2 linked regions of the Arabidopsis thaliana genome follow. The main gene of each other region encodes a partner of the protein of the gene in region 2 in a complex. Each region holds a gene or a part of one and is shown on either strand. Other genes may lie near its edges. The genes, in order: GLL22 and JAL22.

Region 1 (3,936 bases), on a different chromosome or scaffold from region 2:
TGCGCCTTCTCGGAGTTGTGACGTCCGTCGAAGAATAGGAAAGACCGTTGGTACTCACATAGCTTCGAATGCACGTTAGGTAAACCGCAACCATAAGCATCGTGAGATCCAACTCCGCAGCACGATGCGTTCGTGACGAAAAACCCTAAGAATGACAAATATTAATGACTTGGTATTAGAAGTTATAAAACTAAAACAAATGAAATTAAACCATGATAATTAACCAACTCACGGAAGTTTTGGTTCCTCTGCGTCCTAGTAAGAACGGCATTGTAGAAATCAAAGACGGTGAATTGGAAAGGAGCTGATGCAGGAGAGTTTCTAGCCATTTCGTTCAACATCGGTCCAATTTTTTCGTTGTGTTGTTTAGCCAAATCGTTGAGTTTCTCATAGCATTGATCCATCCCGGTGTTGTATTCTTGTCTGACGATGGGTAAGCAACCCAATGGAGCTAAGGTTTGGATCACGAATTTACTCGCTCCTGATGAATACAACGCGCTAATATCGTTCTTTAACTTGTTGGTCACGGAAGTAACAAAAGCTTGTTGAGCAGATGCATCAGCGGTAGGGTTGTTCTTGGTGAAATTTAAGTAATCGTTTGCACCAATGTATATCATAAATACTGACTTTGCCACGAAATCATCGTTCCAATTTGCTGCTTTCATTTGATTGAATTTTTTCACTTGTTGATTCAGAGTCATCTAAAGAACCAAAAAAGAGAAAAAGACAAAAATTAAACCAATATTATAAGTGCAATTAAAGTAAAGCTTATTGATATTAAGTCACATGCTTTTCTGTGAAGTAAAACAAAAAGAATCCCGCTTAGTATGACCGGGTCAATAATAGACAGATATAATTGATTTTCTTTGAATTAGGTGTTGACTATAGATATATACATGACTCTTATATAATAAGAAATTAAGTTTACTTACAGATTCCACCGGAGCTCCGAGTAGAGTAGCACCTTCGACGGCGAAACTAGCTCCACGTGAGACATTGACGTTCGGTTGAAGCGCCGGCGCGATCGCGAGCGGAATCTTCATGAATTTAGCTGCATTTTGTATTTTAAAAATATTTTAGTTTTTCATATAATATCAAATCATTCCTTGTACTACATCTCCGAATCTGTTGACGAAAATAATAAATAAAATTTCATAGAATGTGTCCCGAAAAGTGAATAGCCGCTGAACCAATGCATTTATAATCTTTTTTTTAATCATACTATTTACTATTTTTTAAGTAATTCACTAGTAGCATACTTAAAATGCATTTATAAATACTACTGTTTATGATTATTTTTACGTAATCATACTATTTTTAACATACTTAATGTTTTAAAGATTAGAGTAGGATTCGATTAGAAAAGAAGTCGTACCGAGGAAGTCCGGAGTGATGAGGCCGTCGGAGAATTTGCCGTTGGGATCATCTCGAGATTTTCCGTACGGCCAGAAACCTTGAGCGACTAAGGTTTTGGTGAGAGTCTGTTTGTTTCCGGCGTCGAAGTTGGAGTCACCAAAGGTGAACAAGGCGACCACCGGACTATTCTGTCCGGCGACAGTGATGGGGTTGTGAAAGAGGGTCAATACCAAAATTACACATAGAACACTGACTAAATTACAGTTGTTTGCCATCATTTAGAGAGAGGGAGAAACAGAACTGTGAAAAGAGAAGAAGATTGCTTTTGTGCCTTAGCTCGTAGACCGATTCGTTATATTTATATTGCAAGTACTACAATTTGGCAATGAAAATAATAGTTCATTTTACTATACAAATAATAACGTGTAGCGCGAGGTTCATTTTACTATACACCTATTTAACGCACTAGCAAACGATTATCGATCAATTATATTATATAGTTCGCTTAATCACGTCTGACGCATTACTGGTTTCTCTTCTACTTTATTTTTAATTCTCAACAAAATATCTATTGTTACTACGAGTACCAAGAAAGATCGTGCTTTTTTTTTTTTGGTTCAACAACAACTTACAATTACACAAGAGTCTGAATACACATAAGCTTTAACCCAATCCGGCAATATAGAATACAATTTGGGATCATAATTCAGAAAAGAAAGAGATTCCCTAGCAATTCTATCTGCCACACAATTCCCTTCTCATCGGGTAAAAGTCACTTTAACCTCTTCGAAGTGCTGAAAAGATCGTGCATTTAGAGGCAAGAAGTAGAATTAAACATACAAATTTCACGGAAATATAGGGTGTAAATGGTAACACTAAACCAGATTCAGTAATTTCTGCAGTAACCATTTGCATAAAACTAAATTTTGCTGACTAGCCAAATTCAACAAAAAAATTTCAACACCAACATATACGTAGATATGTTTATTTCTGCTAAAACTTTTGGATAATTTACGAGTACACAACTCGAATTAAAATATTTTTAATATCAAAATACATATCAAATAGATATTTTTAAATAAGTCAGATTATACTGATACGATATATGAATAATATAGATACATAAAATATCACTACCAGAATAGACAAGAGACGAATATGTTCGGATAATTATAGATAATTTGGATAATAATTTTAATAACGTTTAGATAACTTAAATCAATTATTAAAATTTTGCAAAAACAACTCATACCTATGCTAAGATATTCTTTAAAAGATAAATTATAGTAATTTCCTTAATCATCCTCATCATATTATTGATTAAATTACTTGAAAACAATTAAAAAAAACAATTAACAATCTATATTTTATCATCATGTTAATTTTTGAAATTATTTTCTTAATAGTGTTTTGACAAAGATTTTCGTTAATTATTTACATATTTTTAATAGTTCAAATTTAAATAAGAAAGAATAACTCAATTTTGCGTTGACACAATCTTAATAGTATAGGTAATAGCTTAGTTATGTATATATAAATTATAAAAACTTGTGGAGAGTTGTTCCTTAAGATTTACAGTGAAGATTAGAGAAGATTAAGTTTTGAGAGAGTGTCTATATCAAATACAGAAGAGTTGGTCCTTATTCGTTTGTAAGTTCTAGTAATTATCAATTTGATTGGAATCATTAGAACGACAGAAAGGTGAACAATTTTGTTTCTAAAAGAGTGCAGAAACTAGATAAAAATAAAACACATTTGCTTACGTGAAGATGAAGTTTTATATGAAGAACGCCTCATTTGTTTGGTTCATCTATTATCTATATATATGATTTTTGGTTTTATTTCATATGAAAATTAACTGTAAATATAGCCGGCCCCAAAGCCAGATGTATAAACTTATCTTTTCTGGAACTTTATAATTTCTACTTTTTATTTTCTTTGTTGCCAATCATTTCGAATATTACCTTGCAAGAATAATTGCAAACAAAAAAAGAGGGTAAAAAAGGTCTCAAATTGAATCCACTACCTTCTTAAATTGATTCCACCAAAATTTATCATTTTGTTCTAATGGAGTGCATGTGGCCCGAAACTTGTCTAATCTGAGCACAAAGCAGGTCATTGGACACGCTTTGGTTCATATTGTCAGGTTTATCACGTTACTCATTGAGATTTTTCTTATGGAAAAAACAGAGTTGAGGTTACATTATTATTTTAAATCTCAACAAATTAATAACAGCGCATTTCAAATTCCAAGAGCTCGTTCATGGTATAGAGATGGAAAATAGTGAGCTCAAGAACTAAACGAGTTAGATAGATTCACTAGCATCGACGTCGACGTCATGGACTAACGATGATATTCTCATCCATTGGATCCTCCCAAAACTCACGCATAGGCTCATTAACAGGATACACAATGAGCTCACGAACATTCATAGGTTGGATAACATTTGGGTCCGCTCCAAAAGATAAGATGATGAGAAAACGCTTCTTGTGCCTTCTTTTTTTAATTATGGAATTACCTTTTAATATGTGGTTGACAAAAAAAAGAAATAAATTTATGTAAAAGTTTTGTTTCTTTTA
Region 2 (3,936 bases):
AGGATAGGATCATCATAATTCACAATTAACTGTTGGAGAAAGATTTTTTTTTTTGAGAAACGTTAAACCTAGCAGCCCTAATCTTTTCTAAGAGAGGAGATCGAGACTCTGTTCTGAATCAATAACCATCGATCAATCTCAACTCTAAAAGATGTCTAATACTCAGACCAAGTCGTTGTGTTTGGACGGTCTTAGTGATCGCGAAATACTTGAGTATAGGTATTGATCGATTCTTCTTGTAAACTTTGTTCCAATTATTTTTTTGCCTGATAATCTCTGACTATATATGTTATTTCTTATTCTTCCTGGATTTTCAGATTGGAATGGGAAAATTACACCGAAATCATGATGAAAAGTGATGGAAATTGCCAGGTAATTAATGTTTCTATATCAAACAATCAACTTGATATATATTTTTGATCGTATTATGAATAACCCTTTTTCATGTTTTTGTCAATAATTCTATTTCAGTTCCGTGCTTTGGCGGATCAACTTTATCAAAATTCGGATTGTCATGAACTTGTTAGACAAGAAATCGTAAAACAGGTAATATCAATCTTCAAACTTTTGATTGTTTTTTTCATACGTGTATTAATGTCATATGATGATTGATTGATTGATGACTCTCAGCTTAAAACTCATCCGAAGATTTACAAAGGGTTTGTTGATCATATGGACTTCTCCCATAAAGAACATGTCATTGTCCACTAATTCCCAATGGGGCGATGAAGTGACTTTGAGAGTGGCTGCTGATGTGTATCAAGTAAAAATAATACTCATTACATCAATCAAACTTATTCCATTTATGGAGTTTTTGCCCAAGTCTCAAAAGGAACCGGACAAAGTCATTCATATGAGCTATCTAGCTGGGATCCATTTCAACTCCATCTACAAAAAAAATAAAGAAAAAGGTTAACGTTCTCTTCCTTCTCCATTGTATATACATCTCATCTCCTTACTCTTGATTTGAGGCTTTGAGCAATATTGTATCATTCTTATTCTTCGTCTTGTTGGCTGCTTCAGGTTCACGTTCATCTTCATCATCGAGTTCTGCAGTCTGGATGAAGCTACAGAGGAAGAAGGAGAATGAGGCGAAGAAAAAGGAGGAGGAGGAGAAGGAAAGGAAGGACATGGAGAAGGAGGAGAAGAAAAAGGACAAGGAGGATAAGAAGAAGGATAAGGAGGATAAGAAGAAAGCCAAGGTGCAGAAAGAGAAGAAGGAGAAGAAGGAGAAGAAGAACAGAAATCACCACTTTCACTATTCTGAATGATTTGTTTTGATAAATTAAGTGTATCTGCATTTGACAAGTTGTATGTTATTATTGGGATCATTGTGGTTGTTTTGACTCTTTTATGTTCTTTTCGAGCTTATTCTAGTTTTGAGCCTTAGATACTGATAATCATAAAACACAACATGATAATGTGAAAGAGTCATCATGACATAACATCAGCGTCCCAAAATAACTTGACCATCGTCTCCATGGTATCCAACCGTCGATCCTCAACGACTCCAAAAAGCAAGGACATGAATATATGATGATGATAAGCCAAACTTTTGCATGAACACAGTTTATACAAAATTTAAATAACTGTTAAATTCATTTGAAACTTTAATGAATGATATTTCTGACAGTAACTTAGGAAATAAAGCTTATACACCGTTTTAGTTTGAAGATAATAATTCTAAATCTGTTTTCAAAATGTGCAGTCAAAAAGATTCTTAATACTAAATAGGAGATTTTGGTGGGAATCGCAACATTAACATCATCAAATTTGTTTTAGTTAACAATATATTGAATTTGGTTTATGCTGTTTTGATGAATTGTTTTGTTCATCTGTCGTACTTTAAAATATCTCTGCATCTAGAAAGTTGTATGCTATTATTATATATTGCACTCGTAATGGACTCTAATTATTTGTTGCATTTGTGAGGGAGTCTCTCGTGTCACACGAGTTGATTATTAAAATGATTAATTAAAGACAATCAAGAAGACCTTGTATGCCAAAGATTGTCAATAAATACACACAATTCAATACCCATAAGCTTCATCTCCTTCCATCATTCAGAGCTCAATAATTAACTGGTTATCTCTCTCCCTTCAATTTTTTTTTTTTTTTTTTTTTTTAAAGTAACTCCTAGTTTCCACTACTATGTATGTTGCTTCACAAAATGTTTTTAAAACAAGAAGTAGCTCTTTATATGTAGATATGTATTCTTGAATATATTAGATTTAACAAACACTTTTAAACCTAATTGATTGATTTATATTACACCACATCACCAATAATAGAGCTATCAACATCAAACAGTAAATATTTACCCATGATCAGTTGATTGTTCTATTTGTGTTTCTTGGATCATTTTGGTGTTTTTGCTATGTATTTGAATAGGCTATACAGTGTTATCATGGTATTTATGTATTACTAACCACAAACCAGCTTTAAAAACTATATATAAAGCTGTACATATATACTTTCGTTTTTGGATTATCTATATAAGAAGTAATTTTTGCATTTTACAATATTTTTTAGATTCGAAATGGCGAAGATGTACCGGAAGTTGGCACTCTGCGGTGGTGAGGGAGGACAAGAATGGGACGACGATGTATATGAGGGTGTAAGAAAAGTGTATGTAGGGCAAGATCTCAACCGTATCACTTACATCAAGTTTGAGTACGTGCAGGAAGACGGCGAAGTAGTAACAACTGAATATGGGACAACAAATCAGCACCCTAAAGAGGTTCTCATTGCATTTATTCTCACCCTTAATTTTTTGCGATACTAGTAAATTACTCTTGTGAATTCGGATTAACGTTGGATAAATCCTTTAAGACATAAACAAGAAGAAGCAAGTATTTCTGAGGCGGATACCCTTTAGTGACTCTCTAATTTTTTTGTATTACACTACTTGTGTAAATGAATAAGACACAAACACTAAGACAACGTTATAAAACCAAAACTCAGATACTGTATATTAGGACTAGGAAATCTTGAGAATTATCCTAAACCTATCAATATTAAATACTATAAATTTTATTGAATATATGTTACTATTACATACAGTTTGTAATTCAATACCCGGACGAACACATCATAGCAGTGGAGGGAAGTTACCACCAAGTGGCTCTCATTGCCACAGAGGTGATTACGTCCCTCGTCTTCAAGACCTCAAAGGGTAGAAAGTCTCCATTGTTTGGTCCAAACTTACTTGGAATTACGACCGGTACAAAGTTTGTTTTTGAGGATGAGGGAAAGAAGATCGTAGGGTTTCATGGACGGGCAGGTGATGCTGTCGACGCTCTTGGAGTTTACTTTGTATTGGATACCACGCCGTTCCCTCTTTACAAGCTTGATGCCCAAGGTGGTACAGACGGGCGTGTTTGGGATGATGGTTCTTACGATGGCATTAAAACGCTGCGTATTGATCAAGATAATTCTCGTATCACTTATTTAGAGGTTGAGTACGAGAAAGACGGGGAAGCAAAAACATGTAACCATGGGGGGAAAGGAGATACACCATCCGAGGTAACTTTACTAGTTCTTCTTATACACGACTAGTTCAATAATTTCTCAAAAATGTTATAAATTGTTAAACTCTATTTATATGTGATCATTAGTACAACGACATAAATTAGGTTCCAAATATCAATGATTAATTATTGTGTTTGTAGATTCTTTGCAGTAGTATGAAGTATAACTCTCACACACTCCGGTTCAAATTTTTGTAGATATAATTGACACATGTATTTAGATCTCTTAAGACAAAAAGTCTTCTTATTTTGTTGCTTCTTGTTGCAGTTTGTGCTTGGTTACCCAGATGAATACATCAAATCGGTGGAAGCAACCTATCAGAAGCCAAACATTTTTAGCAATACGGCAATTACGTCACTTAAGTTCTTAACATCAAAGGGGAGAACATCATTCTTTGGGTATAAT

What was found.
Region 1: JAL22 (region 2) and GLL22 share a complex: the UniProt entries of both Arabidopsis thaliana proteins name them as parts of the PYK10 complex.

What each region holds. Positions count from the first base shown.
Region 1 is NC_003070.9:20,154,732-20,158,667, forward strand, and holds the start of GLL22 (GDSL-like Lipase/Acylhydrolase superfamily protein), read right to left. Parts: upstream 1,790-3,936; 5' UTR 1,635-1,789; coding exon 1,376-1,634; intron 1,052-1,375; coding exon 933-1,051; intron 702-932; coding exon 233-701; intron 146-232; coding exon 1-145.
Region 2 is NC_003071.7:16,414,927-16,418,862, reverse strand, and holds the start of JAL22 (jacalin-related lectin 22), read left to right. Parts: upstream 1-2,017; 5' UTR 2,018-2,084; intron 2,085-2,125; exon of another isoform or gene 2,126-2,532; 5' UTR 2,533-2,539; coding exon 2,540-2,740; intron 2,741-3,063; coding exon 3,064-3,525; intron 3,526-3,798; coding exon 3,799-3,936. Other genes in the region: AT2G39320 (Cysteine proteinases superfamily protein), read left to right, coding at 346-372, 472-546, 692-911, 1,024-1,271. UniProt on the Arabidopsis thaliana protein: Inhibitor-type lectin that may regulate the correct polymerization and activation of BGLU23/PYK10 upon tissue damage.